7 linked regions of the Cricetulus griseus genome follow. The protein of the gene in region 6 binds, or shares a complex with, the protein of the main gene of each other region. Links are inferred from orthologs where the notes say so. Each region holds a gene or a part of one and is shown on either strand. Other genes may lie near its edges. The genes, in order: Htatsf1, Sf3b1, Sf3b2, Sf3a1, Sf3a2, Ddx46 and Sf3b4.

Region 1 (4,056 bases), on a different chromosome or scaffold from region 6:
CACAGGTCTGTGAGGAGCCAGGGTGCTCTAGAACCCACCCAACCATTGCATTTACAAGCAAAGGTGACTGGAATTGAAGTAACCTCTGGGTAATAATATGGATGTTTACACAGAGTTCATTGCTACTTTTAATGAATTAAAATTTTACTTGCATAGTTAAGATTACAGCAACAAATATTGTTGATAACCGCAATCCACATTTAAAACAAACACTTTGGAATTTTCTAGGTTTTTGAGTATAAAAGGATGCTGAAAACAAAATGATGTCTGCTCTCCAGCTTCTGGTACTTCTATTTTATTGTTCGCCAAATCATAAGTGAGTCTCCCTTATCTGTGCCTGTCTTCCCGACTGCTGTCCCAGAACCTCCCCCAGTGCCTGGCACTTAATAGGAGTGCAGTATAAACCTGCCTGTTTTAAAACATGGACCCCTTGTCGTGTAGAGAGACATGAAGTATTTTGGGGAAAAGTTCTGCTTATGGCAGTTAGTTGGTTGCCTTTCTAAGAGACAAGAAACCGAGCCACATGGTCCAGCTGGCATTTGTACACGGGGATGTTTACAGTCAAGCGTCAAGTTCCAGGCCTCAGCACCTCTGGTACCTTGCAGTATGATGCAGGCAACTGCTACCCTCAGCAACTGCAACCTGAAGGGAAGGTGCTACCAGATGCATAAAAAGGGGGTGAGCTTAGGAGGTGATGGGACCTTCTGCCCATGTTCAGTCACTTATTCACTCACTCTTCGCTAGATCCCAAACAGCATGTTACTGGTTTGGGTTACTGAGATGAGCAAAAGCCGTGTGTCGTGTAGTGTAGGACAAGAAATTCAAAACGATATACTTGGTTCCTTCGCAGGGGCGGGATCTGGCGTGAAAAGAGGCGCATGGCTTTCGCGAAGCGGGAGAAACTTGTCCCCACGGTCCCACCCACCTCCCCAAGATGGCGGTTGCCGCAAAGCCCAGCCCGCGCCAGCACTGCTGTCAGAATGAGGCTGTCGCCTCGTCCAAAGTGCAGAGGACGCCGCCGGGCCCAAGGCCCCTGCGGTGTCATGGATTCCTGCAGGCTTGCGTCCCCATCGGGTGCACGGACACTCCGGCGGCAGCCTTCCCTGGCAGCCCCGCCCCGCCCCCCCGCCCCCCCCCCCCGCCCCCGCCCCGCCCCCGCCCCGCGTCGCGGCCATTTGACGCAAGAGTGGGCGTGTCAGCGCGACCCGCTACGTCGCCACGCGCGGTCAATGGCGACCGCATCGGCCTGAGGCGGACTCCGTTCTCAAGCGACTTTCCTGTTGAGGCGGGAGGGAGCTGTGGTGCCTCCGGAGCCGACGGTGGCGGTGACGGCGCGCCTGCGCGCTTCCGCTTCGCCCTGGCCCGAGCGGGGGCGTCCAGGCCCCGCCGAGCCCGCCAGGTAGGTGGGGTGGCGGCCACTGCGCCGCCGGCGGCCTCGGAACGCCAGTGCGCGCGCGCGCGCGCGCCTGTGGGCCGGCCGGGAGGGCGGAGCCTGGGCGGCGCGGCGCGGCGCGGCGCGGCTCAGCCTTCCCAGGGACTGCTGGGGCGTTGCGGGGAGGCGGGCCAAGGGGGCTGCACCGCACACGACCTGAGCTCTGCCGACCTCCGGCTCTCTCACTTCTCCAGCGCCCTGTCGGCCTCTTCACGTCTCTGAACGCTGCTCCCGGCCCCGCTTCAGAAACATGAGTGGCAACAACTTGAGCGCGAACGACGAGTTTGACGAACAGTTGCGAATGCAAGAATTGTACGGGGACCCTAAGGACGGTGACACCCCGAACGATGCCTCCGGAGAAACGGAATCTGCGGGGGGACAACCGCAGGATGACACTCCCTACGAGTGGGACCTTGACAAGAAGGCTTGGTTCCCCAAGGTAAGAAAAGGGTGGCTGGACTGCCGCTGCGGAGCGTGGCTGTGGGCTCCCCTGGACACCCTTGCCGGACACCCCCTCTTACGTTTGCTCTTCTCAAGTACTAGGTCCTTGAACCGCTGCTTGATGGCTCGTCTGTTCCGTCCGTTCCAGTATCCGATGTATAAAGGAAAGAAAACCTTATGGTGGTGCCTGAAATGTTCTTTATGCCTTATTAATTTTTGTGAAGGTCACAGGCGTTATATTGATGACTGCTTTTTATTGCCAAAAGGAAAAACACCAAGGAAAACACATTTGTAACCGTTTTATCCTGTATAGCCAAACCTGTGAGATGTCTAGTGTCCATGCTGTGGATAAAATGCAGCTTGTTGATTTAGGGGGCGGGAAAGAAGGCTTTTACCCCACTCTATTGAATAAACTTTCCTTGCGTCTTGGTTTATTTTTCTACTGAATTTTGTTCCAGGGCATCTAAGTTTGACTCTTGTAACCACAGGAATATGACTGGGAAAGCACAGAAAATGGTTGGAAAAGGTCTCTACATTCGTTTTGAGTACTTGGAAATTGCTGTGTGTTTAATTTCAACGTGGAAATAACTAGTGTAAGCTGTATGGAGAAAGTACGCTGTTAGTCTTAGCCTAGGAGGGGCATTAGTATTAAAGGTTACGAACAGCCCGTCAAGTGACTTGGGAGCCAATCACAAAAAAACTTGTCTCCATTGTGTAGACCGAGTGTTAGTTTAAAAAGTATTTCAGCTATTCTTTCTTATTTTATATTTGTCCATATCTCAAGCTCCCCAAATTGTTGAAATTTGCTATCCCGTTTCTGGACTTGTAATGCCACCTTGAATGTAGATGTGATTTCTTCTACCTTCTGAGCCCTTTTAATAGTCCGACGGCAATTACTTGGTAACTTTATCTTTTACGTTACTTAAAACCCTGGTTCTTCAAACTTTGGGGGTAAAATTTTCACTTTTCTGTGTACCTGAAAGTGATAGTCATAACTCATAACTCATTCAGCCATTCAGCCATTCTACAATAGTGGGTTCCCCTGCAAAGCCAGGGCGATGGGTGTGTATCAGGCTTGCCTTTGATTTTGTTCTGTCACTAAGCGTTTCTCTGAATTAGTGCTCAAACTCAAATGGGCATTTTGTGTTCTAGCAGTTTCCAGCTTCATACATAAACATAAAAATCTTAGTGTACATACGTATTTTTGTGCATCCAAAAGTGGATTCTGTGATTAGATTTCTAGTTGACTTTTGGTTTTACTCTGTATCATTATTTGATACTTCTTTTGTTCTCTGTATCGGCCACCTTAGTCAGATATACTGTGGAGAAGCAAGAATTTATAAGACAACTAGAAAAGGTGCTAGCATCACTTAAAATTCTCTCATACTTTTTTGTTGGTAGTTTGAGCACTTTTTCATAGTTTCGTACTTTTTTCGTGTTACAGTTTCTATATAAGATGACTGCTCTCCTATTATATTTTAATTATTACAACTACCCTTGGCATAAACACTTGTTAAAGTCTTAGATTATATTACTGAATGTACAGTTGTATAACACATGAAGTAACCATGTCTGCATATGTGCTGACTTAACCCATCTAGATCACTGAAGATTTCATTGCTACGTATCAGGCTAATTACGGCTTTTCTAGTGATGGTGCATCTAGTTCTACTGTGAATGTCCAGGACCCCAACCCAAAGACAGTAGAAGAACCTCCACAAAGAGAAACCCCAGAAACCACTGACTCCAAAAAGAGGGGAGAAAAGAGAAAGGCCGAATCAGGCAAGTGGTTCTGTTTTGCAAAACCTGGGTGTAAAAAAGAAATAGGAAAATGTGTAAATACATTTTACATTTTGGAGGATTATACTAGCATTGAAGGAACATAATGTAAGTTTTCACTTTTATGTAGGCGTAAAGTCATTAAGAATTGAGATAGCCTTTTTCTTTTTCAGAGAGAGCCCTAAAACATTCTCAATCAAGAAGTTTATGTATTTTTGAAAGCTGGGTAATGATTTGAGTTAGACTTAGTTTTCTTAAATAAAGAGAACATTCTAAAAGTTTTTAAGAAGCTGCCACTACCAGGATTTCATAATGTGATTCTTGTTATTTGCAAGTGTTTTATTTATTTCATTTTGATTTTTAGGATGGTTCCATGTTGAAGAAGATAGAAATACAAATGTATA
Region 2 (3,500 bases), on a different chromosome or scaffold from region 6:
ACTAGCCCTCAACTGGTGATTGATTGTCTTGCCTCAACCTCCTGTGTGTGTTTTAGCATACCAATTTTAATCATTTAAGGACAGAATTTAGTGACTTTAAACATTCACAGTGTTGTACATTGTACACTATGATTATAATTCATTTCTATATCTTTTTTCAGTGACCTGACCCAAACAGAAACTGCATCTTTTAAACAACACTTCTTTCTGTACCACCTTTGGCTCCTTGCTAGCCTATATTTATGTTCTGTGTCAGAAGTTTGCCTAAATCTAGAGTTTGATGTATAGTGAGAATAGCTGGAACATGGCTTAAGATACACAGTGTGTATCTTAAGTTCCACTCTGTGATCATGTGGATGGAAAAACAAAGTTTTTTTCTTTTGGTTTGTTTCTCATTAGTTGCTGTGGTCAGTGGAAAGGAAACCCAAAGACACTAAACAAAACTTTTAAGTATATCTTGTTTTTGGAATATCTTCCTTTTGAACTTAATAATATTGACTGTGGGTGAAACAGTGTTTTAAAAATGGTTAATAGTGTGATCTTACTGTCCTTTTTCTTTGAAGATACTCCTGGGCATGGGAGCGGATGGGCTGAGACTCCTCGAACAGATCGAGGTGGAGACTCCATTGGTGAAACACCAACTCCTGGAGCAAGTAAAAGAAAGTCCCGTTGGGATGAAACACCAGCTAGTCAGATGGGTGGAAGCACTCCTGTTCTGACTCCAGGAAAAACACCAATTGGCACACCAGCCATGAACATGGCTACCCCCACTCCAGGTAGAAACTCTTTCTCTTGTGACTGTTTTAATTTTTTTGCTGGTTTTTCTGGGTGCTATTATTAAGAGTAAGAACATAAAAATACCTTGATTTGCATTTCTAATATAAAAACAATCAGGTTAGGGCATATTTAGTAGTAAAGTCTTGCACTGTGGATCATGTAAAATTTTGCTGTTTTGGTAGGTCATATAATGAGCATGACTCCTGAACAGCTTCAGGCTTGGCGGTGGGAGAGAGAAATTGATGAGCGAAATCGCCCACTTTCTGATGAAGAATTAGATGCTATGTTCCCAGAAGGATATAAGGTACTAGTGATAAATATATGGTGAATGTGTTGGTACTTAGGATATGAGTTTTAAGCATTTGGCTTAAAAAAAAAAAATGCCAGCAAATTTGGCCTCGCCCAAATTTACTAATTAATTCCTCTTTTTTTTTTTAAAGATACTACTAAATGCATTTCAGTTGAAAAAGTAATAGACATGAAATGAGTAGCATGCAGCTTTTATTATTTTCCTAGCTGTGGTGGTGCCTGCTTTTAATTGAAGTGATGGGAGCCAGAGACAGGTGGATCTCTGAGTTTGAGGCCATTTTGGTCCACATAACAAGTTCCAGGACAGCCAAGAGACCCTGTCTTAGAGAGACTCTGTCTTAATCGCCGCTCCCCCAAGTATTTTGGGAGCTAGAGAAGTGGCTCAATGCTTAGGAGCATGTGCTGCTCTTACAAAAGCCTATAGTTCAGTTCCCAGCACCCACATCAAGAGGCTCACAACCATCTGTGAATCTCATGAGAATTCTGTGCCTTCTGTTGGCCTTCTCAGGCACTGTATGTACTCAAGTGTACAAACTTAAATTCAGGCACACAGATACACACAATTTGAAAAAAAAAATCTTTTAAAAAAAAGTTATTTTTAATTATATGTGAGTTCAGGTGTCTGCAGAAGCCAGCGTAATTCCTCTATTGGTGGTTGTGAGTTGCCCAGCATGGGTTCTGGTTTCTGAACTCTGGTGCTCATGATTTGAGGTGCAGATGTTCTAAATCACTAAACCATTTTTTCTAGTACCTGAGACTGACTATATAACCATGGCTAGTTTTGAACTTGAGATATAGGCCAGGCTGACCTGAAATTCAGAGATCTGTCTAAAAGGTGGTATGCCTCACTCCTGGCTTTTATTACTTTTAAGTAAGGAACCACAAGGACTTCTGGAGGTCCACAGACAGTGCTTTAAGAACCTCTGAATCAGTGGAATGGAGTAGCTTGTTTCATTCAGTTCATGATTTTGTAGGACTGAACTCAGATAACATGCTGGTGAATTTTCTTTTTTAATGTGTGAGTGCTCTATCTGCATGTATGACTTTATGCCAGAAGAGGGCACTAGAGCTGGTAGTGAGCCACTATGTGGTTGCTGGAAATTGAATTTAGGACCTCTCACAGAGCAGCCAGTGCTCTTAACTGCTGAGCCATTTCTCCAGCACCCTAATGAGTAAAATCTTAAAATGTACCTTTAGGTCTTCAATGTACAGTGACACCAATGGATTTGACATACTGTAAGAGTCCGTGTATAAATTCTCCTTTACTCAAAATGATTAGTGAGAGGTCCATACTGCACATGCAATAACAAGAAGCAAAAAATTAGTTGGGTGATGAAGTATAGGTGGCATCAGATGTATTTAACATGATTTAATTGTGAGTCTCATTGACATTTTCCAGACATGGTAATTAAGGCTATTTGGAGAAGACCTGTGTTAAGTTTATTGTCTTACCTAGGAAAGTGTAATTAGCAAAAGAGTCTGTCTCATTGCTTTAAAAAACCAAATCCTATTGTTTTAAACTCATATTTCCAGATATTCTATGGGTATTGCAATGGGTTTAATTTGACATTTCTTTCAGATGGTTGTGGCAAATACTTTAGTTTTACTTTGTTGTATTTAAGTTTGTCTTGTAAGAGTTCAGTTTTAAAATACATTTTTATAGTATTTGGGGTTTATGTGAATATTTCATTTTATTACTAAAACATGCATGACTTTTATCTATTATATAAACCATATAAGTTTATTTCCACTTAAATGAATGATGTTTGCTCTAAAAGTACCTTTTGGGAAATCACTGACTCATAGGTTTTATAATTTTCAAGTTTTGTTAATTTCACATATTGTCTTGATAACATTGATATCTCAAGCATATTAATGGTTGAAGGTGACTAGAAATTTTAAAGTACTCCATGTATTTCTTTCCCACTTAAATTTTAATTAACAAATTAGGAGATAAGTGTTTCTCATAAATATCTTCTTAACTTTTAATTAACTTTGAACTGTGGCATATGTTTTCTTCAGGTAAATAAACTTGCTAGCTAATAAATTACAAAGATGTCTTTAAGTGTAAATGCTACTATGTTGTCTTTCATTGTGTAAAGCCAAAGCAGTCCTGCTAAAGTGTGTTATAACTCTCTTAGGTCCTTCCCCCTCCAGCTGGTTATGTTCCCATTCGAACTCCAGCTCGAAAGCTGACAGCAACACCCACACCTTTGGGTGGCATGACTGGTTTCCACATGCAAACTGAAGACAGAACTATGAAAAGTGTCAATGACCAGCCGTCTGGGAATCTTCCATTTTTAAAACCTGATGACATTCAGTACTTTGATAAACTATTGGTAAGTGATGCTAACAGAAATAAAGTATTATTCTTTGTTTGGGAGTTACAAATCACTGTCTTGATCCACCTTTAC
Region 3 (4,187 bases), about 220 Mb from region 6:
CCTTTAATCCCAGCACTCGGGAGGCAGAGGCAGGCGGATCTCTGTGAGTTCGAGGCCAGCCTGGTCTCCGGAGCAAGTGACAATAGGCTCCAAAGCTACACAGAGAAACCCTGTCTCAAAAAAAAAAAAAAAAAAACATAAAAGTTAGGGAGAGAAATATTACCCTCTTCTGCTGCTCTAAGAGCTATGTTCCTTCAATGAATGATTTCCTTGCTTAAAAAAAAAAAAACTCATGCCAGCAACAATACAACCAGGCCAATCTGCCAAAATTCTTGCTTCTAGGATTCTCTGCCAGCTGTTACCTAGGTCTTGGTCTTCAACCAAGACCTTCCTAAAAGGCACAGCCTCCGGGTCTAGCTTTCTGGGGTTCCATTTCCCCATCAGGGACCTAAGGTGACCTAGGTAAGGTTTCCACCTGTCCTACCTGTTTGGCACGTTCCTCTTGCTGCATCAGCAAAGCTGCCTGCTGTTGTGCCAGCTTCAGCCGTTCCTCTTCTGATAATGCCACAGGCTCACCGACTCGGAGAGGAGGTGGGGGACCCAAATTTGGTGGGTGAGCCATAGGAAAGCCAAGGCCAAGGCCTGGTGGAGGTGGTGGAGGTGGAGGAGGAGGTTGTAGAGGGGGGAGTCCCATAGGTGGTGGCGGCATAGGAATCCCAGACAGCTGTGGAAAAAAATATATAGCTATGAACTAGAAAGCATTTATTCACTTTAGAAGCATTTTCTAGCTAAAGTTCTAAAGGGAACTAGCAAAAGAGCCAGGCATTCAAAGTCTAGTGATGCAGAACTCAAGAAAATGCACCATAGCAGAATCAAGAGAAGAAAAGGCTAACTTTAGAACACTGATCAAACAAAGCTATTGGGTCCTCTGAAATTGCATTCAATTTAAGAAAATACAAGAACACCTCTAAAGTCTATACAGGCACTTAACAAAACACAAACACACACACACACACACACACACACACACACACACACACACACACACACACACACACACACACACACACACACCCCACCCACCCAGGCCAAAGCCACTAGTTTAGAGGAAGACACTCAAATACTGGATTCCAAAGGAACTTAAACAAATAGGAACCAGTACTGGAGAGACTGGACCAGCAGTTAAGAACTGCTCTTGAATCACAGGGTTCAATTCCCAGCATCCAGATAACAGCTCACAATCCTCTGTAACTCCAGCCCCAGGGTGATCCAAGCCCCTTTATGGCCTCCTGTAATGCTGCATGCACATGGTGTACAGACATGCACGCAGGCAAAACACTCATATGCATAAATATGTGTATATATTCACATACACACATATATACACACACACATATACACACACACACAGATACTATTTTTGAGATACAATTTCTCTGTGTTCTGGCTGTCCTGGAACTCACTCAGTAGACCAAGGTGGCCTCAAACTCAGAGATTCACCTGCCTCTGCCTCCCAAGTGCTGGGATTAAAGGTGTTCACCACCACTAAACTTTAAATATGTTTTTTTAAAGAAATAGAAACCAATGTGCCAGGGCACAGACTGTCAATGAATTACTAAATGCAGGAGGTATATAATAAAAAAATCACAGCATTACCCCTTAAAGTGTCAATGAATAACTTTGGGAGCTATGCCTGATAACAAAACACATGACTACATCCAACTGGGAGAGAACCAAGTATGAATTCTAGGTATTCAAGTTGACTCTTGAATGACAGGTCAAATTTAGAAGAGCAGACATTGCGGACTGATGAATACCGGCACAAAGCCAGAAGTGAAAAGGCCCCAATTCTGTCTCATCAGACCCCACCCTTAATTCACTATATTCTTATCTCCAGTGCAATGCATGGGAGAAAGGTTATCCTGAACAGAATGACCGATAAACAGTCTCTTACCTGTGCTGACATAGGAGGAGGAGCAGCTTTGTCCCCATCTTCTCCCCTTAAAACAGGTCGATTCAGCACAATGCCCGTCTACAAAAGAAAAGAGAACTGTGTGTCAGACTAAGAGGGAACTATTCCATTGCACGGCCTCCTCCACCATTTATTTAACAAAGTGCACCCGATGCCCGTTTGCCAGAGATTGGGGCTGTAACCTTTACAATAAAGCAAAGGCAAAAACTGACAAAACGGTCAAGACCCGACTTGCCGCGATGAAGTACGTAAGAAACGAAGACCCAGCCGGGCGTGGAGGCGCACACCTTTAATCCCAGAGCACTCGGCAGGCAGAAGCAGCCTGATCTCTTGAGTTCCAGGCCACCCTGGTTTACTGAGAGAGAGTTCTAGGACAACCAGGTGTACACAGTAAAACCCCGCCTAAAAGCTTTTTAAAAAAATGTAAAAGAAACGAAGACCGATCCGTGGCCTATCTTAAAGGCCTCTAGGAAAAGTAATCTTCAACTCCTGCCACAACTCACCTGGCGGGTGTAGGTCTGCAGCCGCTCAACCAGCTCCTCGCGACTCCCTGCGGAACCAAGCACAGAATCCGGGGTCAGCACCAGCCGGAACAGCCCGGCTTGGCCAGGTCGGGCCCCAGAGGCCTGTCTCCGCCCCCCGCCCGTGAGTCTCCTGGGTAACCAGGTCCCACTGCCCCGCAAGCCCACGCAGCCCCCTTTGACCGCCCCGGGAGCCTCACCCTGGATCGGAGCTCCTATTTCCGCCAGTTTGGCCTGAAGCTCCTGAGCAGCCCAGGCGCCATAGTGGCCTGGAGGTGGCGGCGGCGGCAACTGCAATTCTCCTTTGGGAGGCTCTGGATGCTCCGCCGCCATCTTAGCCACAAGAAGGCGCGCGACCAACACGGAAGCTCGGATCAGCCACCGGGCCTACTTCCCGGAACTTCCGGCAGAGCACTCCGCCACGTCCCGCGGTGATTGGAAAGCACTTGATTCAGACACCCACTCACTGCCTTTCGCTGGGAGATAGGATTCGCCGCTAACAAAGGCTGCACGGCCTTCTGGGAGTTGTAGTCTACGGTTGCACCGCCTAGAGGCTGGACGCTTGTTTTAACATCCCGTACCCTGTGGTAGATCCGCCGCTAGGGCCCTGAGAAGACCCGGCCCTCCACCCATTGGTTCCTTTCTTCTTCTCCTCACCTGCCCAAACGCATACTAAGTCTTCTGACCCGACACTCTCGGTGATGAGGTACCTGGATGCTTATTCCACCCAGGAGCTCATAGAGACTGCTTTCCGGCGCCCGCCAAGTGGGAGGTTGGAGCCGATGCCTCTGATAAAACAGTGTCCGATTGTTTGCCTGCTCGCTCCCGGCCCAGGCGTGCTTGAATGGGCTGAAAGGGGATCGGAGCCCGTAGAGGAACGGACCCGCCGGGCTGAGTTCCAGCTGCTGACTTGGGGGAAGGGCGATACCAAAATCCCTTTTCCACATTCGAGAAAGGCTTAAGAAAATGCCTTCTCTGCCAAATGTTTCCTCTCCTTTCTAGGAGCTTTCATACCACACCCAACTTTCCACCTTTTGTTTTCAAAACGAAATGTGCACCACTTGCATGCCTGATGTCTGTGGAGGCCAGAAGAGTGTCTCCTGGAACTAGAGTTACAGACGGTTGCAGGTCCTCTGCAAAAGCAACAAGTGCTCTTAACGCCATCTCTCCAGTCCCAAGGTTTTCGTTGTTTAAGTAAGTGTATTACAAATGTGAGCCAATCTATTGCCCCTTTTTGTTTTTTTTGTTTTTTTTTCGAGGCAGGGTTTCTCTGTGCAACAGTCCTGTCTGTCCTGGAACTCGCTCTGTAGACCAGACTGACCTTGAACTCACTTGAGATCCGCCTGCCTCTGCCTTCCAAGAGCTGGGATCAAAGGCATGTGCCACCCGCGCCCAGCTGTCCTGTTTCATTTTTAAGTCTTTCGTACCCTTTATTCCTACCTCCATTCCCAAAACAGGAGCAAGAACTTGATCTTTTTCTATCATGAAGCATCTAGCATCCAGGAGCCACCTAATAAATGATTGTGTGGGGGGGATCTATCCCTGGGATTTTATCTTCTTATAGGAAGAAAACACTCAGACTCTTTTCTTGGGTGGAGACCCCATGACCCTTGCCTGCCAAGCATCCACCCATTCATTTTGTCTCCTCACTTCTCCCTTCTAGTTCTTCCTCCACTCTCGATGCAGCCTGTTTGTTCTTGTGTGTGATGAATAAGGGAGACGAACACAAATGGTCTCATTTCTCACCCACACAC
Region 4 (3,290 bases), on a different chromosome or scaffold from region 6:
TTTCACCTTAGTTCCATATTAACTGTAAAGCAAGACAGGTATATTTAAGGAAGGGAAAGGGGGAAAGGAAACTGAGCATAGTAATATATACTTAAAATCTCAGCACTCTAGAGGCAGAACGATTAAGACCAGCCTGGGCTACATATGAAACCCTGTCTAAAAACTAAAAAAAGAAAAAAGAAAGCCTTACATGGTGTGTCACAAGTAGCATCAATAGTAAATGGGCCAGAGGGACAGTAGTCATTGTTTGGATGGGCCCACTATTAGTAGAGCGTAGTTTCTGGTTGGCTTGGAGTTCTCCAAGCATAATGTGCACTCCATTTTGCAGGGTCCAGTGTCCATCAAAGTGCAGGTACCCAACATGCAGGATAAGACAGAATGGAAGCTGAATGGGCAAGGGCTGGTCTTCACTCTGCCACTCACAGACCAGGTATGTGTTGCCACCCCCAATTGTTACAGGTGCTTAGCCAATGGGTTGTTTTTTCCAGCTGGTCTTAGCAAGGGAATGAATGACCTTTCTTTGGTCCCACAGGTCTCTGTCATCAAAGTGAAGATTCATGAAGCCACAGGCATGCCTGCAGGGAAACAGAAACTACAGTATGAAGTAAGCCAGGGTAACCCCAGTCCTGTCCATTAGGTTCCAACACCTCTGTCATCCCAGAAACAATCTTCTGTTACAAAGTAGGATAGAGAGAGACCTGGATGTGGCCATCTGAGTCCATCCTAGAAATAATACAGGTGGGATACTGGGGCAGGTGAACCTGACAGTGCAGGATTCTGACAGCATAGTCTAATGCAGGGTCTAAAAACCTTTTAGAGCTGGATGGGGACCAGCCCAGTGATGTGATCTTAGCCTGGCCCTCTCTGCAAAGGGGGTCTTCCAGGTCTTCTGGTGCCTCATCTCTTCTGTAAAATGAGGGTGTTGAATTAGGTAATCACTAAAAGTCCTATGACCTGAGAAGTTGGCTGTTTCTTGGAGTCGGTCATGGGTAGCATCTTGGGAGTTGAAAATTGAACCAGGTGTTGACTAAAGGTCCCTTATGTTTGTCAATATCAGTTAGAAGGAAAAAGTGTTCTAGAAGAAGCCAAAGTTCCATAATCCACTGACCTGACCTTCCCTTTAGCATCCATATTGGTGAAGTCTAGAATATTAACAGCTAAGCTCAGTTGTGTGAGGCTGCATTGATGTGGTCAAAGACAGGTGCCATACCTAAGACGTTTGTTTGTATTCCAGGGCATTTTCATCAAGGATTCCAACTCCCTGGCTTACTACAACATGGCCAGTGGTGCTGTCATCCACTTGGCCCTCAAGGAGAGAGGCGGCAGGAAGAAGTAGTGAAGAGATACCTACAGTTGGGCTCCTGCATTGGACCTCTTCTTTTACCACCACTTCCAGGAGCTTTTCTGGGACCTCAGGCACAGCCCGTGTATTTGTTTCCCTCTTAATCAGTTTCGAAATTCACCTTGTCATTTAGGAGAGGTGTTGCCCATTATCTAACCTGACATGGGTAAGAATAGCAGAGCTTTCTAAGCCAGTCTGTGGAATGATTTCTTGTTAGGTTCTGAATTTGAGATCCTTCAGGAAGCCCATTAGGAATTCAAAACTCAGTGTTTCCTACAGGATAGTTTCATAATACCGAGTGATGTTTGGCGGATAGAATATGGTTACTGTCATCATTTTATATCATGCTTTGGTTTCTAATCTCTTGAAGCCAAGCATGGTACATGCATGCTTGTAATCCTGGGACTTGGGAGGTTTAGGCAGGAGAATTAGATGTTCAGAGTTACCCTCAACTGTACAGCTTGAGGCCCACCTGGGCTGTGGGAGATACTGTGTTAAAAAATATTTTTAAAAATTAAAAACAAAACACCTCTTGGACCCTCATAGAAACAGTTTATTAAGATCTGACTCTTGGCCAAGTGTGCCTACCACCTAGTACTGTGGAGCTCTTGGGGTCTCAGTAGTTATGGTCTCTGTATATAAATTTTTGCTGCCGTCATTAGTCTTTCTTCTGAAAATCATCATGGGCTGGGGAGGTGGCTTGATGAATAAAGTGCTTATGGTGCAAGAATCCATTGTAAAAGCCACTAGCACAAACTGCTGTAACCCTTGTGCACTGGGAGATCGAAGACTAAGCCAGAATCATCTGGAGCAGGCCCGTGAACACTAGACCGTCTCTAAAGCTAGATGGAAGGCAAGGCCTGACATCCATGAATGTCTTCTGGTCTCATATGTGCCATGACACACCTCTACAAGAAACACACATTTTATATTTGTGAAACATTGGGACCCTCCAACATGCAGTATCCCACAGAACAAGGACCACCACAATAGCAGTTTTCTTCAAATCTAGAATCACCCATGAACTGATTGGCATAGTGGTTTTAGGTTAGGTGCTTCATTCAGTGTGATCAAAGGGTATTGTTTATGATGTGTGTTATTAATTATGCCAAGTCTATGTGCTTATCTAAGGGCCTCAAATTTAGTTTACTACCTAACGTGTTTTGTTGTTAGGGTTTTGTTGTTGTTGTTCTTTTTTTATTTGTTTTATTTTGAGACAGCTGGCCTGGACTTGCTATATAGACCAGGTTGGCTTTGAATGTACAGAAATCAGCTTGCCACTGCCTCTCAAATACTGGGATTAAAGACATAAGTTGTCAGACCTGACACTGCTTCCTGTTCAAGCACTTGTGTGGTAGTCCTTATGTGATTTTTCTTGTTTGAGGTACCAGAGGCAAGTCACATTCCCACAATCACATGGTTCAAAGATGAAGAATATGTGCAAAACATTTGCCTTTTGGTCACTGAGTGAGGTCCTGATGTAGGTTATTATTTTTGGAATTCTGCTATTAGTGGCTTAGGTGCTGCTGTAAGTATTCAGAGGAAGGGAGATGAGAGCTTGTTGATTATGTAAACAAAGCTGGTTTTTTTAGGAGGATTACACATGCTCAGATCCCCTAAGAGTTCCCAGTACCTTTTCATTTGCAGTCCGTTGATGTGATGAGGAAAATGTTCTCAGGATCAAAGCAGTATTCTAGTCCTCACCCTAGCTCTCCACCTTTCCTCTTCCAACCTAAGCTTAGGCAGCTCCGAGGCAGGGCCAGAAACAGCTCCATCACACACTTCTCACAGTCAATCGTGTTGATGTAATGCCATTCTGCATCCTGTGTGACATTTGCCTTTCACATGGTTACCTGAAGTTTGCCTAGGGACTAGTGCAAAATTTGGCTTTCTGGTGGACTTTTCTGATTTAGGGGCCTGAAAGCAAGCTCACTGCTAGACACTAATT
Region 5 (4,266 bases), on a different chromosome or scaffold from region 6:
GGACCGGGGAGAAGCCCCAGCTCCTATGTCACAGCAGGTGGCTGTCATTTCAGTGCTGAGGAAACAGACAGTTGGATCTCAGGGCTTGCTGCCAAGCGTGATGACCAGAGTTCAATGCTGGGAACCCACACAGTGGAAGGTGAGAACCAACTACCCAAAGTTGTCCTCTGATCTTAGGGGCATGCTCGATCACACACAAATACACGTATGTGTACATATTGATGTATTGTTTTAAGGGAGAGGTGAAGACATCAGAAATTGACATCTGGCCTCAATATACACGTGCAAGAAGCAGAAATTAAGGGTAGTGATGGAGAACCCCGTGATGATGGAGGAAGACATGAGGGCCAAATGTCTACAGGACGGTACTGTAAAGATCACCAAGGAAGAAGGCTGAATCAGATGTCACTTCAAAACCTCAGAAGCCCTGCCGGCGGGAGGAACTGTTTATGCCACACCAACAAAGTCTGCGCAGGCTGCTCATATCCCTGCCGTGAACAGGTACTGAAGGCGGGGAAGAAACTATGGTCGCACCAGCGGGGACCAGACCCGGGGGCAATTTGACAGCTGATGCAGCGCTGGGCCCCGGAAACTCGGGATCCAGGACAAACGGAGGTTGGGGCGGGGGTGGGGAGGGGTGTGCGGAGCAGAGTCCGGAGTGGGGACTGTGGGGACCGGCGCACTTACTGATGGAGAAGCCGCCGGGCTCTTCCTGGGCCACTCTGCAGCGCTCCAGCAACAGGGCTCCGAGGGGCTGCGCGAGACACGGCCATGAGCGCCGGCCGGCTCCGGGCCGCGCGGGCCCCCCGAGCCCCCCACGCCCCTACCTCGGCCTCGTCCGGGCGGAAGTAGAAGAGGAAGTTGACGACCAGCTTCACCAGCCGCCTCTTGGCCACTGCGGACACGGGGCGGTGTCAGCGGGAACTGTCCTCCTCCGCCCCCCGGGGAGGTGCCCAGCCGCGGCCCCGGCTCGCTCACCGCTGCCCTTCTTGGGGCCCCGCATGCCCAGCTCGGCCGCCATCTCCGCCGGCTGACGGGACAGCGCCTGCAACTCCTTCTCGTTGTACCGCATCACGCCGTGGGGACCCGCGCGAACCGGAGGGCGCCCTGCCTCTCGGCCGCCGTCCGCTCGGAAGGTGCGCTCAGCACCACAAAAGTCTCAGGGAACATTCCCGGAAGTCCCAGCAGAGCTACTGCGCCTGCGCGCCGGGGCGCTAGCGTGTCTGCGGGCGCAGTTGCTCGCAGAGTCAGAAAGGAAGGAAGTCGCCCGTCCTAGGTAACTGTCAAACACACTAAACGTGAGGTATCAAGCTAGATCCGTAGCACCCCCTGTCAAGCGAAGCGCGTTCCGAGGCTGCTGAGACATAACGATTTCGTCCTGTCGCGATACTCAGCGAGAGTTCGTGAATAACTCAGTGCGCGTGCGCACTTCGGACTCCGGCGCTCCTTTCACTCGCGCCTCTTTAAACCGAGTCCATCTTCTGGGCATGCGCACAACCGAAACTCCGCCTTATTTTCCCCCGGAAGTGACTGCTTAGTCCGGCCTGCGCGTGCGCACAGCGAAATCGTGGGCCTCGCGGACGTTACGCCTGGGCTGCGCGGCCTTTGGCGCCGGTGAGGTGTTACTCGGCTTGTTGGTGGAAGCTACCCCGGCTTTGGTGTCTCGGAAGGGGGTCGGAAGCAGCAGCGAGGGCGCGGGGCTGGACGGAAGGGCCGGCCGGCGGGCGGCGCGGCGGCGCTCGCGCGGCCCAGTGGCCGCGGCGGCATCGCGGGCTTCCGTGGCGCGTCTGCGGCCCCCAGCGTGCCCCGGTTCCTGAGGGTCTTTTGAGCTCCTTGATTGCCTCAGCTTTCCTCGTCGTTAGTCAGGGCCCTGGCGACTGCTGCTGCCGCCCACCCGAGCCGGTCCTTTGCTGGGACTGGAAGATAACGGTATTTCCATCCCAGGCCGTCTCCTTCTCAGACAGCACTTCGTTTCCCTGTCTCGTTTGTCGGTGATCTTATGGTGGTCCGTGAGGTAGCTCGTCTCCATCCATCCGTTCTCCCTCCTGCCCCACGCCTCACTTGTGAGCGCATCCAGGCGTTGGCAGAACTTCTATTTCAGACAGTGTCTCCCTGCCCAATTCTGGCCGACCAGGAACTCTTACCTCACACACATCGCGGTGCCTCTGCCTCCGGACGACTGGGATTAACAGCATATGCCGCCGCACCTGGCTGTTTAATTTGGAAGGGTTTATTACCGCTGACAGTAGGAGTGCAATTCAGTTTGGTGGGGAAGTTTTGTCCCAGGAGCTTGAGGCAGCTGTAGTCAGGAAGCAGAAAGATAAGTGCTGGTGTTCGCATTGCTTTCCCCGTGTTTCTTTTTCCGGGACTATCTTTTCTTCGTGTGTATGTGTGTCTGTGCATGTGAATGAGTCCAGATCCACTGGAGCTTGAGTTTCGGGTGGTTGTCAGTTGCCCAGTTTGAGTGCTAGAAACTGAACTTGGATCCTCTGGAAGGACACCAAATGCTTTTAAGACAAGATTTTACTGTGCAGCCCAGGCTGGCCTCCAACTCGGGTGTCTTCCTACCTTGGCCTCCCAAGACAAGAGCTGATGTGAAAGGTGTTTGCCACCATGCCCACCACAATTGCTAGTGTTTCCCGAGGTTGAAAATGTCACAGGCTGGGAAAGGTAGCTCAGTGGTGAGATTTTGCAAGACTCTGCTCCTACCCCAGAACCAAGGCGCATGCTCACCCAAGCTAGTTTTGTCCTGGGTTTTCTTGTTTTTTTTTTTTTTTTAGCCTCTCCAAAACAGATGAATTGCATTTTTCATTTAGTGGGTGCCCACACCCCTACACGTGAAAGCAAGACTCTAGGGGCCTTGAGTTGTACCCTCAAGCCTGTGGCTGGCTGGACACCAGAAGTCAGAGTAGGTTTTCATGCTGTCACTGCTCCAGGTACCCTCTTGTTCTGGGAAGCCTGCGGCCAGCCTTGGACTCTGCTCTTGCATCTGGCCAACTTCATCTGTGGGTCTGTGTCTCCTGGTAGCTTTCGAAGGTATAGGCAGTGCTTTTCTTTTTCAGTCCTGTGTGGCTGAGCATGAAACAGACCAGACAGGCTGGTCCTGCCCACAGACAGCTTCAGTACACATGAATGCTCTCAGCCATCCCAGCGTCTTAAGGCCCATGTGTCCCTTGGCTTTTGCCCCTTCCTCCTCCAGAGTCAACAGCCAGCGACCTCACTGTGTCTCTGCCCTGAGTCCTTCTGACTCCATGGTGACACTACCTGGCCCTCGGAGTTTTTGATATCATTTTCAAAATTCCTTTTGCTGTATGAGGCTCCAACAATGATGACAAGGACTGCCCTCCACTTGTCTCCTGGACATGTCCCTGAGTTTACCTCTGGGTTTAAACCAAGGCCCTGGGGCAGACAATGAGCAGTCTAAAGTGTTCTTCCTAGTGGACAACATTCAGGACTTGGAAGACTAGGAAAAAACATAATCCTTGTGTGTCAGATGGGTGTGTGAGGTCTTTTAATCCCAACACTTGATGGATCTCTGAGGACAGCCAGGTCTACTTAAAGAGACCCCCCCCCCCATCTTAATATGACACAGCAGGCAAAGGTGGCTCATACCTGCAGTCACTTGGGAGGATCAGGAGTTTAAAGGACAACCCAGGCTACATGAGACTCTGCCTGTCCCCCACCTACCTCATAACCAAAGACAGATATAATGGCACACCCCTGTAATTTCAGTGCTTACGGGGACCAGGAGTTAAACTAGCCTGAGCTACACAGTGAGTTTACAGCTAGCTTTGGTTACGTGAGACTTGAAAAAAATGACACTAGCCTAGGGTCTTGGGCTGGTTGCTTCTCCACCAATCCACATTCACTCTAAGGGTAAGGTGGAATCCAATCTGGAACATAGAAGGCAAGGGAAGGCCTGCTTGCTGCATGAATGTGTGCTGTTCTGAATCTGTTGCCCTTTTGTTCCTCCAGGTTTCTGTGTGTCCCTGAAGCTTCCAGGCCTTCACCATGGACTTCCAGCACAGACCTGGAGGCAAGACTGGGAGTGGGGGCGTGGCCTCCTCCTCTGAGAGCAACCGGGACCGCAGGGAACGCCTGCGACAGCTGGCCTTAGAAACCATTGACATCAACAAGGTGGGGGGGTACCTACAGTAGGGGTGTGGAGGGAGCAGTGTCCCCACACCTACAGACCCAGGTTCATGGGGCCAGGCTCTGCGATCTAATGGGTACATATGTTCCCTCCAAGGACCCATATTTCATGAA
Region 6 (3,500 bases):
TTGAGGCCAGCCTGGTCTGCAGAGTGAGTTCCAGAACAGCTGGGACTACACAGAGAAACCCTATCTTGAAAAACCAAAAAAAAAAAAAAAACCCAAAAAAAACAAAACCAAAACCCAAAAAATAAAATTTTGAAAGCAACACTAACAAAAATAAAAAATCTTATAAAAAATCTCACTGCCTTTGCAGTGAGAGTAGGGTGTGCTTTTGCCACAGATACTTTAAGTCCCACCAGACGGGTGTGTGAAGATGATGTTACCAGGGTTACCATAGCTTTGAGTCTAGAGAAGCATTTCAGCTCTTTCATAGAAGAAACAGAAAGAAAGTTAAAGCATTATCAGAAGTTTATGTGTGACTTCCGTTCTACTGCAAAGAAACTATTATTATATATATATATATATTTTTAGTTTATAATTAGTGTGTGTGTGTGTGTGTGTTTTGATGTGTTTGAGCTTGCTTCTGTGTGGTTGCCCATGTGCACATGCCACAGCACGTGTGATACGGTCAGAAGATGGTGTGTAGGAGTCAGTTGTCTCTGGGTGTTGAACTTAAGTTGTCAAACTGGCAGCAGGCACTTTTACCACAGCACACACCACTAGTCCTATATTTTGTTAAATACTTAAAACTTATATGGGAAACAGTATGTCTTGTGGAATATTTGCCACAGAAAAGTTCACTCTTGCTGGTACCTGTAACTATATAGGCCAACATTCCAGAATTTGCAGTTGCTTTGGCTGGAGAGATGGTTCAGTGGTGAAGAGCACTGTCTCTGGAGGTCTTGGATTTGATTCCCAGTGCCCACAGGGCAACCAACTCACAATGACTGTAACTCCATTTCCTTGAAGAGCCAGTGCCCCCTAATGGCCTCTGCAGGTATTGTATGTGTGTGATGTATGGACACACATGCAGGCCAAACACCCATATATATGAAATGATATAAAGGCCAAAAGGAACGAGAATGAGCGCGCGCGCGCGCGCGCGCGTGTGTGTGTGTGTGTGTGTGTGTGTGTGTGTGTGCGCGCGTGCTTTCATTGTCTGTTCAATTTGTAAATCTGCTGGCCTTGGCCTAGAAGACCGATGTCATGGGTTCCTAAATAAGAGTATATATTTTATTGCTTATTCTGACCTTCCTGTCTTGGTCTTTTAGCAATAGTTGCAAATTAAAATATGTGAAATTCATTAGTTTTACTAGTTTCTAAGGTCTGGCCTGGGTGTTGCCTGCTGCTTCCCGTCCTCAGAACTCTAGCAGCCCAAGGGTCACGTGCCAGCCTGCAGTCTTCTACTCAGACTCTGTCTTACCTGGTAGAACCATGGATGGCCAGATGCTCACATCTGCTCATAAGCAGTGATGACTCTCCTGTAAAATCTTATCCTGTTTCATTAGATCGCTGAGCTGAAAAGAGGTGCTGAGATTATTGTTTGCACACCTGGTCGAATGATTGACATGTTAGCGGCTAACAGTGGTAAGTCACAGGTATTTTTTTGTTTTCTTTTCCTTTTTGAGCTTGACACTTTTTTGTTAAAGCAGATATGAGAAACCAACAAAGGGTTTCTATGTTTCTTCTTAAAGCTGTAATATCTTAAAATGTGAATGGTAACACATTTATTGTTGAAAGTATTAACAAGTTTTTGGCAGTTCAATTTCTTTTCACAACTAACTCCGTAAGACCTTACTAGCATTTAACTTGACTTTTCATTATAGTCTTTTTATTATAAAATTCTCCACGGGAGCTAGTATTTTATACTAGTAGATACATTAAGTTATTGCAGCTTCAAGAAATGTGTCTTTTGTAAATACTGCATGTTGTTAGCCGAAATGTTGTGCTTTGTTAAAATATTCCCTGTCAAAAATGATACTAAACTGTTGACATTGTTTAACCTCTGTGGAGAAAGGCCCTTGAGGATTTATAGACCTGGGCTTCCGAGATGGTAACCGACCAAGGTAGGTGACTTAATGCTGTTTCCAACCTTTCGAGAGAGACTCTTGTCAACTGGAGATGTTAGTGTGAACACTACCTGTTTAGTCTTTGAAGAAACAGCTTTTTCGAGGTTTCCATTGAAACGTTCAGTCTGTATGTAATTGAGTGTTGGAATCCGAGAAGTGCATGTTCTTACTAGTGTTCCGCCTGAGCTTGGGGTAAACTTAATTCTCCATGAGGGTTGAGGTCTTGCGCTTGTGTAGCAGATGAAGCTTTGGGGATGAATGCTGACTGTATAATCCCTTGCTTTTTCTCACTGTTGTATTAATTAAATCTCCTGAAGTTCATCTTGATTAATTTTACCTTTTCCTTTATTTGTCTTTTTCGTTTGTCTTTTAATGACTATTTTTGCCAGGTGGTTGGTTCTGCAAAGTAATAGCAATACTTACTGGTCTTTGAGAGGGCTTTCTGCATTTTTAGTTTTTTGCTGGGTAAGAAGCCAGGATTACTTAATTAAACCAGTGGCCCCAACTAATAATTTAATGTGTATCTTTGCATAGAAAAGTATATTTGTATGTAATGCATTTATTTTTTAAAGTGTGTAAGATATTGTTACCCAGTGATTTTGAGCGGTTTATTAATGTTTTAGCATGCCCACTTAAGGCGCTTCTAATCGTATGGCAGTAGGCTGTAAAGTAATGAGGTTTTATGCCTCTAAGTAGTTAGCACTGGAACCTGCTTTCCACACATACGCTGTAATCTCTAATATGTTTTTTTCTAGGTGATGCTGTCAGATAATGGCTGATGTGGCTCGATGCTTCATCTCAGTCTTAGTTTTATGATGTGTTTTGGAGAGGGCTGTTTTCTGAATTTTACAGGTTCTTCAGGCCCTATGATGGTATGCAAGAGACGAGTTTGACCAAATAAAGGGCCTCATGTACCCACTGTCAGAAAGAACTTGCCACTAGATTAAGACTTTTAGACCAAAGTTTCTTTTCACTGTTGTAAGAAACCTAACCTACCCCTCTGCTTAAGTCAGGCATTTTAGTTCCCTTTATGGTTTTTTAAAGTTCTTGATTGTCATAATGAATTGTGACTGGTAGTTAGTTTTCGTTTTGTTTTTCTTTTTTCTTACCTTAGGTCGGGTCACAAATCTTCGAAGAGTGACGTATGTTGTTTTAGATGAAGCAGACAGAATGTTTGACATGGGTTTTGAACCACAGGTAATAATTAAATTTCTTTGTAATTTTAAAGGTTTATTTTACTTTTAATTGTGTGTGTGGTGTGTGCACATGAATGCAGGTGCCTGCAGAGGCTGGAAGTATCATATCATCCTGGAGCTGGAATCACAGGTGAATGAGAGCTGTTCCATGTGTGTGCTGGGTGGCTGCCTGGAACTTGGGTTTGCTCTAAGAGCCATCTCTCCAGTCCCTCATTGAGGTTCTTAAATTTTTGAAATATAAAGGGGATTTTGTAACTGTAGTGAGAATGAAATGTTTGTGGTCTTGAAATTCACACTCATTTTGTATTGCCTGGTATTATAGTGTGTTGGCAACATAGGGAAATGAAATAAATACTGACAT
Region 7 (4,069 bases), on a different chromosome or scaffold from region 6:
TGAACTTAGCTGCTACAAACAAGGGCTGTAGAAGGAGATGCTGGAAGGAGAAAAGTGAACTGTGGGTTGAGCAGCAGCCTTGTCTAGCCTGTCAAGAACCATGGACTAGAGACAGAAGGAATCAGTACCTGCACATTTAACACTACAAATAAACACTGGAAGAAGAACAAAGCACAAAATCTACACAGACAAAAAAGGGGGCTGACCCAGGTTGCTGAGGTTGATAAGTCACATAGAGGAAACAGTTTAATACATGCATAGCTCGTCATGTGTATAGTAGTGGTTAAGAAGCAGAAACAGGCCAGGCGTTGGTGGTGCACGCCTTTAATCCCAGCACTCGGGAGGCAAAGGCAGGAGGATCTCTGTGAGCTCGAGGCCAGCCTGGTCTACAGAGCCAGTGCCAGGATAGGCTCCAAAACTACACAGAGAAACCCTGTCTCGAAAAACAAAAACAAAAAGCAGAAACGGCTGCCCAGTGGTAGTGCCACCTTTAAACCCAGCACTTGGGAGACAGAGGCAGGCAGATCTCTGAGTTCAGGGCCAGCCTGGTCTACAGAATGAGTTGCAGGACAGTCAGGATCCTACACAGAGAGACCTTATCCCTAAAACAAAACAACAACAAAAAAAAATAAGCAAAAATGTCGCCTAGATCTGGCAACTGAGCTCCTTCCTGGGAATCAGAGGAGAGGCTGAGAGTAAAAACAGTAAGAACAGGCTATTCTGCAGAAAAAGGAAAAACCAGAGACAAGACGGGAGGGAGCTGAAGTACACACAGAAGTATTTTCTGAAGGAAAGGGAGACTCTAGACTATTTCCACCCAAGACAAAGAGCAGTGACAGAATCACTCTCACAAGCTCATCTCCGTTTCCCAGCAGACCACTTACCTGGATGGGGCATCCCACCTGGTGGGAATGGGTGAGGATGTGAGTGTCCGTGACCAGGATGCCCAGCTCCTGGAGTTCCTGCTGCTGGGGGGCCATGTCCTCCAGCCCCAGGTGGCATAGGTGGTGGGGGCATGGCTGGGGGTATCCCAGGAGGGAGGGCTCCAGGTGGCGGCACTGGAGGTGGGAAGGAGCCAGGAGGAGGCATGCCTATACAAGAAACGAGAGTCTATCTTGTGAAGAAAGAAAGACTGTCTTACAGAGCTCTAGCTTCCTTCCAGCACACTAAACTCCAGTCTCCCAAAGAAACCCAACATCTGCATCCCTTCCACCAGCACTCCTCATCCCTTTCTCGCTGCCCGCTGAGTTAACAGCTTACTCCCTCAGGGTTTCTTCTGCCTTCTGACCCTCCCTCCCAAGGGCCTCTCACTGGTGTAGTTTGAACTAAAAGCTTTACCTGGTGGAGGAAGCCCAGAACCCAGGGATGAAACCACAGGATTGGGGGCAGAGGGTGGAGGGGGTGCATCTGCGAACAGCTGGTGAGGACGGTCAGCCTGGGACAGCGGGTTCTGGGCTGCCAGAAGTCGTTCAGCTGCTGAGCCATGGCGCTCGCCTTTAGAGTCCTTCTTGAAGGCGTAAGACACAGTGATGGGTCTGTTACACAGGTACTGCCCATTCATGGCCTCAATTGCTGCATCCGAAGCATCAAAGGAGGCAAAATTAATGAAGGCATAACCCTTAGAGTTGCCTGTGTCAGGGTCCCGCATAATCTTGGGGGTTTGTAAGATGACCCCAAAGGCGCTGAAAGTATCATAAAGCAGCTTCTCATCGATTTCTGGGTCCAGGTTCCCAATGAAAATGTTGGCCCCTACATCCAGGTTTTTGTTGTGAGCTGAAGCCTTGTTCACCCGTATGGGCTTCCCATAGAGTTTGATCATGTTCATAATTTTAATAGCATAGTCAGCATCTTCCTCACTCAAGAATTCAACGAAGCCATAGCCTGGGGAATTGAAGAAAAGACTACTCAGATGAAGAGATTCAAAACGACACACTAACTCACCAGCCTCCAAACAAAGAACAAGTTGGAAGAATCCCAACTTCAAACTAAAGCTAAGAGACTACTCCTGAAACAAACTGCCAACTGAAGCTTAGAGAAAGAAACCATTCCAAAATAGCTGTGACTAGTGTTGAGATGCTTCAGGGGCCGCTAACCCAAAGTAAAGTCATTTCTTGCCGTAAATACTCACCTTGGTGCTGGCCAGTGACTCTATCCTTTGGCATGTGGGTGTTGACCACCGGCCCTGCCTGGAGAAAGAGCTCCCACAGCAGTGGTTCGCTCACTTTCTCGTCTAGACCGCCCACGTACACCGTGGCATCTAAAGCAAGAAAGCAGAAGGTAAGGACGAGGTCACGAGTTAAAAGGAAAACAGAAATTTAAAAAAAAAGTAACTAAAACCCTGAGATCACCCTTTGCCTGCCTAGTATAAAAAAACCCGCTCAAGTCTAATGTGGCGTTCTTGCGGATTGTGTACTTCCCGGTGGAGTTTCAATGATGCGCTTGGTAGCAGCGGGAGTGCCTACGGGAACCGGATCCAGAGGCATCACCCTCACAGGCCTCGGCCTCAACCCGGCCCCCAGGCCCAGCCCCCAGACGCGGGCCTTCCCGGGGAAACCTAGTTTCCCACGCTGGCGCTAACGCTTCTAGCACTCATCTGCCCTCCACCTCCCTGGGCCCACCTTGGGCTCTTCTCCCCCAATTACCCTGATTCCGTTCGGAGATGGGCCCGGCAGCCATGGCGAAGAGGCTCCCGCCGTCTCTAAGCGGCAGCACCGCCCTCTGACCTGTTACGACTTCCACTTCCGGGCCAAGGCTCCCATTGGGCGGGGCGGGCGGCAGGGGAGGAGCCGGAAGTGGCCGCGGCCATCTTAGGCGTCTGACGCGTGTCTGGAAAGACGCTGTGGTGGAGCTCTCACGACGCCCGGCTGGCGCCGAGGCGCTCAGGCCCCTCTTGACGACGCGGCTCTCGCCTGTCAGGCAGTCCCGCTGCTCCCCAGCCCAAATTTAAGCCCTAATCTCAGCCTTGTATGTTCTGTGACGCAGAGAAGCGTGCTGGGGGGAGGGAGGGGCGGGCCGGCTGCCTCGGGACGCAGCCTGTTACCTCAGTGCAGACGGAAGTGTCTGAGCCCCACTATTCGTGGGGTCATCTGAGGCACGGTGCCGCGTGTGTTCACGGTCAGTCTCAGCCTCGGGAGCACTCGGCAGCACCGTGCATCCCTCCCCTCCCACAGAAGAGACACTCAGAGAGCCTTCCTCCCGGGCCAGGACAGCCAGGGCTACACAGAGAAACCCTGTCTCAAAAAAAAAAAAAAAAAAAAAAAAAGGGGTTGGTGCTTCTTTCTCCAAATTTCGTCGGAATAGCCCCTCCTGTTTTGGGTCCTTAACTTCTTTTTTATCTATTTGTTTTGTTTCTCGAGACAGGGTTTCCCTGTGGCTTTGGAGGCTGTCCTGGAACTCGCTCTTGTAGACCAGGCTGGCCTCGAACTGGGTCCTTAATTTCTGTATCAATAATCTGGGTGCTTTTCTCTCAGTGCATACCCTCCCCCAACCACTTTACCGAGATCTTCATTCAACACAAGAAACAATACCAGCAATGTGTAGAAATACTGTGCTTTAATGAAGTCCTTAAATAGAAATACCACTACAAAAATATACAGTGGGAGGACAGGGTGTCTCCCTTATTTCCCTCATTCCCACAGAAGACTAAGAAACTGGATTTCAAAGCAGTGTGAGGGGTTGAGAATGAAGTCTCTGGGGCATCTTGTTGGAACTGATGAAGTGTCTCTGATCTCACAGTTTTGACAGTTTGTCATCTAAACGGCATGGAATTGCCAGAGAAAAAAAGGAAACGTTCTGAAGTGGTTTTGTTTCTTATTCCAGAGAAACAAAAATAGCTGGAGGTTGGTAGCTCCATGTCTGCTACAGAAACTCACTCACGGAGTGAGCTCCTTTATGGGCTGGAATGTGAAAGCTTGAAACACTGAGGTCAGATACAAAGAAACATGAGCAGAACTCCCTCCACATTCCCTCTGCCCTGCCTTCGAGAATGCTAGCAGTCTCAACGGATCTGAGAGAGGATGGTATTTGGATCTCTCTTCTTGCAGTGATCCTCAGGAGATATTCTTGGTGT

The links.
Region 1: Ddx46 (region 6) and Htatsf1 share a complex: the UniProt entries of both Homo sapiens proteins name them as parts of the 17S U2 SnRNP complex. The link is inferred for Cricetulus griseus from reciprocal best matches to the Homo sapiens genes DDX46 and HTATSF1.
Region 2: Ddx46 (region 6) and Sf3b1 share a complex: the UniProt entries of both Homo sapiens proteins name them as parts of the 17S U2 SnRNP complex. The link is inferred for Cricetulus griseus from reciprocal best matches to the Homo sapiens genes DDX46 and SF3B1.
Region 3: Ddx46 (region 6) and Sf3b2 share a complex: the UniProt entries of both Homo sapiens proteins name them as parts of the 17S U2 SnRNP complex. The link is inferred for Cricetulus griseus from reciprocal best matches to the Homo sapiens genes DDX46 and SF3B2.
Region 4: Ddx46 (region 6) and Sf3a1 share a complex: the UniProt entries of both Homo sapiens proteins name them as parts of the 17S U2 SnRNP complex. The link is inferred for Cricetulus griseus from reciprocal best matches to the Homo sapiens genes DDX46 and SF3A1.
Region 5: Ddx46 (region 6) and Sf3a2 share a complex: the UniProt entries of both Homo sapiens proteins name them as parts of the 17S U2 SnRNP complex. The link is inferred for Cricetulus griseus from reciprocal best matches to the Homo sapiens genes DDX46 and SF3A2.
Region 7: Ddx46 (region 6) and Sf3b4 share a complex: the UniProt entries of both Homo sapiens proteins name them as parts of the 17S U2 SnRNP complex. The link is inferred for Cricetulus griseus from reciprocal best matches to the Homo sapiens genes DDX46 and SF3B4.

The regions. Positions count from the first base shown.
Region 1 is NC_048604.1:15,383,249-15,387,304, reverse strand, and holds the start of Htatsf1 (HIV Tat-specific factor 1), read left to right. Parts: upstream 1-1,256; 5' UTR 1,257-1,399; intron 1,400-1,626; 5' UTR 1,627-1,682; coding exon 1,683-1,871; intron 1,872-3,474; coding exon 3,475-3,655; intron 3,656-4,016; coding exon 4,017-4,056. UniProt on the Homo sapiens protein: Component of the 17S U2 SnRNP complex of the spliceosome, a large ribonucleoprotein complex that removes introns from transcribed pre-mRNAs.
Region 2 is NC_048595.1:409,450,288-409,453,787, reverse strand, and holds part of Sf3b1 (splicing factor 3B subunit 1), read left to right. Parts: intron 1-563; coding exon 564-776; intron 777-959; coding exon 960-1,081; intron 1,082-3,227; coding exon 3,228-3,425; intron 3,426-3,500. UniProt on the Homo sapiens protein: Component of the 17S U2 SnRNP complex of the spliceosome, a large ribonucleoprotein complex that removes introns from transcribed pre-mRNAs.
Region 3 is NC_048596.1:54,019,700-54,023,886, reverse strand, and holds the start of Sf3b2 (splicing factor 3B subunit 2), read right to left. Parts: upstream 2,801-4,187; 5' UTR 2,767-2,800; coding exon 2,634-2,766; intron 2,463-2,633; coding exon 2,416-2,462; intron 1,973-2,415; coding exon 1,895-1,972; intron 665-1,894; coding exon 425-664; intron 1-424. UniProt on the Homo sapiens protein: Component of the 17S U2 SnRNP complex of the spliceosome, a large ribonucleoprotein complex that removes introns from transcribed pre-mRNAs.
Region 4 is NW_023276807.1:100,709,777-100,713,066, reverse strand, and holds the end of Sf3a1 (splicing factor 3A subunit 1), read left to right. Parts: intron 1-328; coding exon 329-430; intron 431-532; coding exon 533-604; intron 605-1,234; coding exon 1,235-1,336; 3' UTR 1,337-2,790; downstream 2,791-3,290. UniProt on the Homo sapiens protein: Component of the 17S U2 SnRNP complex of the spliceosome, a large ribonucleoprotein complex that removes introns from transcribed pre-mRNAs.
Region 5 is NC_048598.1:101,580,085-101,584,350, forward strand, and holds the start of Sf3a2 (splicing factor 3A subunit 2), read left to right. Parts: upstream 1-1,466; 5' UTR 1,467-1,614; intron 1,615-3,975; 5' UTR 3,976-4,011; coding exon 4,012-4,137; intron 4,138-4,249; coding exon 4,250-4,266. Other genes in the region: Plekhj1 (pleckstrin homology domain-containing family J member 1), read right to left, coding at 688-754, 828-895, 979-1,072. UniProt on the Homo sapiens protein: Component of the 17S U2 SnRNP complex of the spliceosome, a large ribonucleoprotein complex that removes introns from transcribed pre-mRNAs.
Region 6 is NC_048596.1:274,635,438-274,638,937, forward strand, and holds part of Ddx46 (probable ATP-dependent RNA helicase DDX46), read left to right. Parts: intron 1-1,382; coding exon 1,383-1,461; intron 1,462-3,057; coding exon 3,058-3,140; intron 3,141-3,500. UniProt on the Homo sapiens protein: Component of the 17S U2 SnRNP complex of the spliceosome, a large ribonucleoprotein complex that removes introns from transcribed pre-mRNAs.
Region 7 is NW_023276806.1:60,350,896-60,354,964, forward strand, and holds the start of Sf3b4 (splicing factor 3B subunit 4), read right to left. Parts: upstream 2,801-4,069; 5' UTR 2,677-2,800; coding exon 2,643-2,676; intron 2,258-2,642; coding exon 2,129-2,257; intron 1,882-2,128; coding exon 1,339-1,881; intron 1,092-1,338; coding exon 885-1,091; intron 1-884. UniProt on the Homo sapiens protein: Component of the 17S U2 SnRNP complex of the spliceosome, a large ribonucleoprotein complex that removes introns from transcribed pre-mRNAs.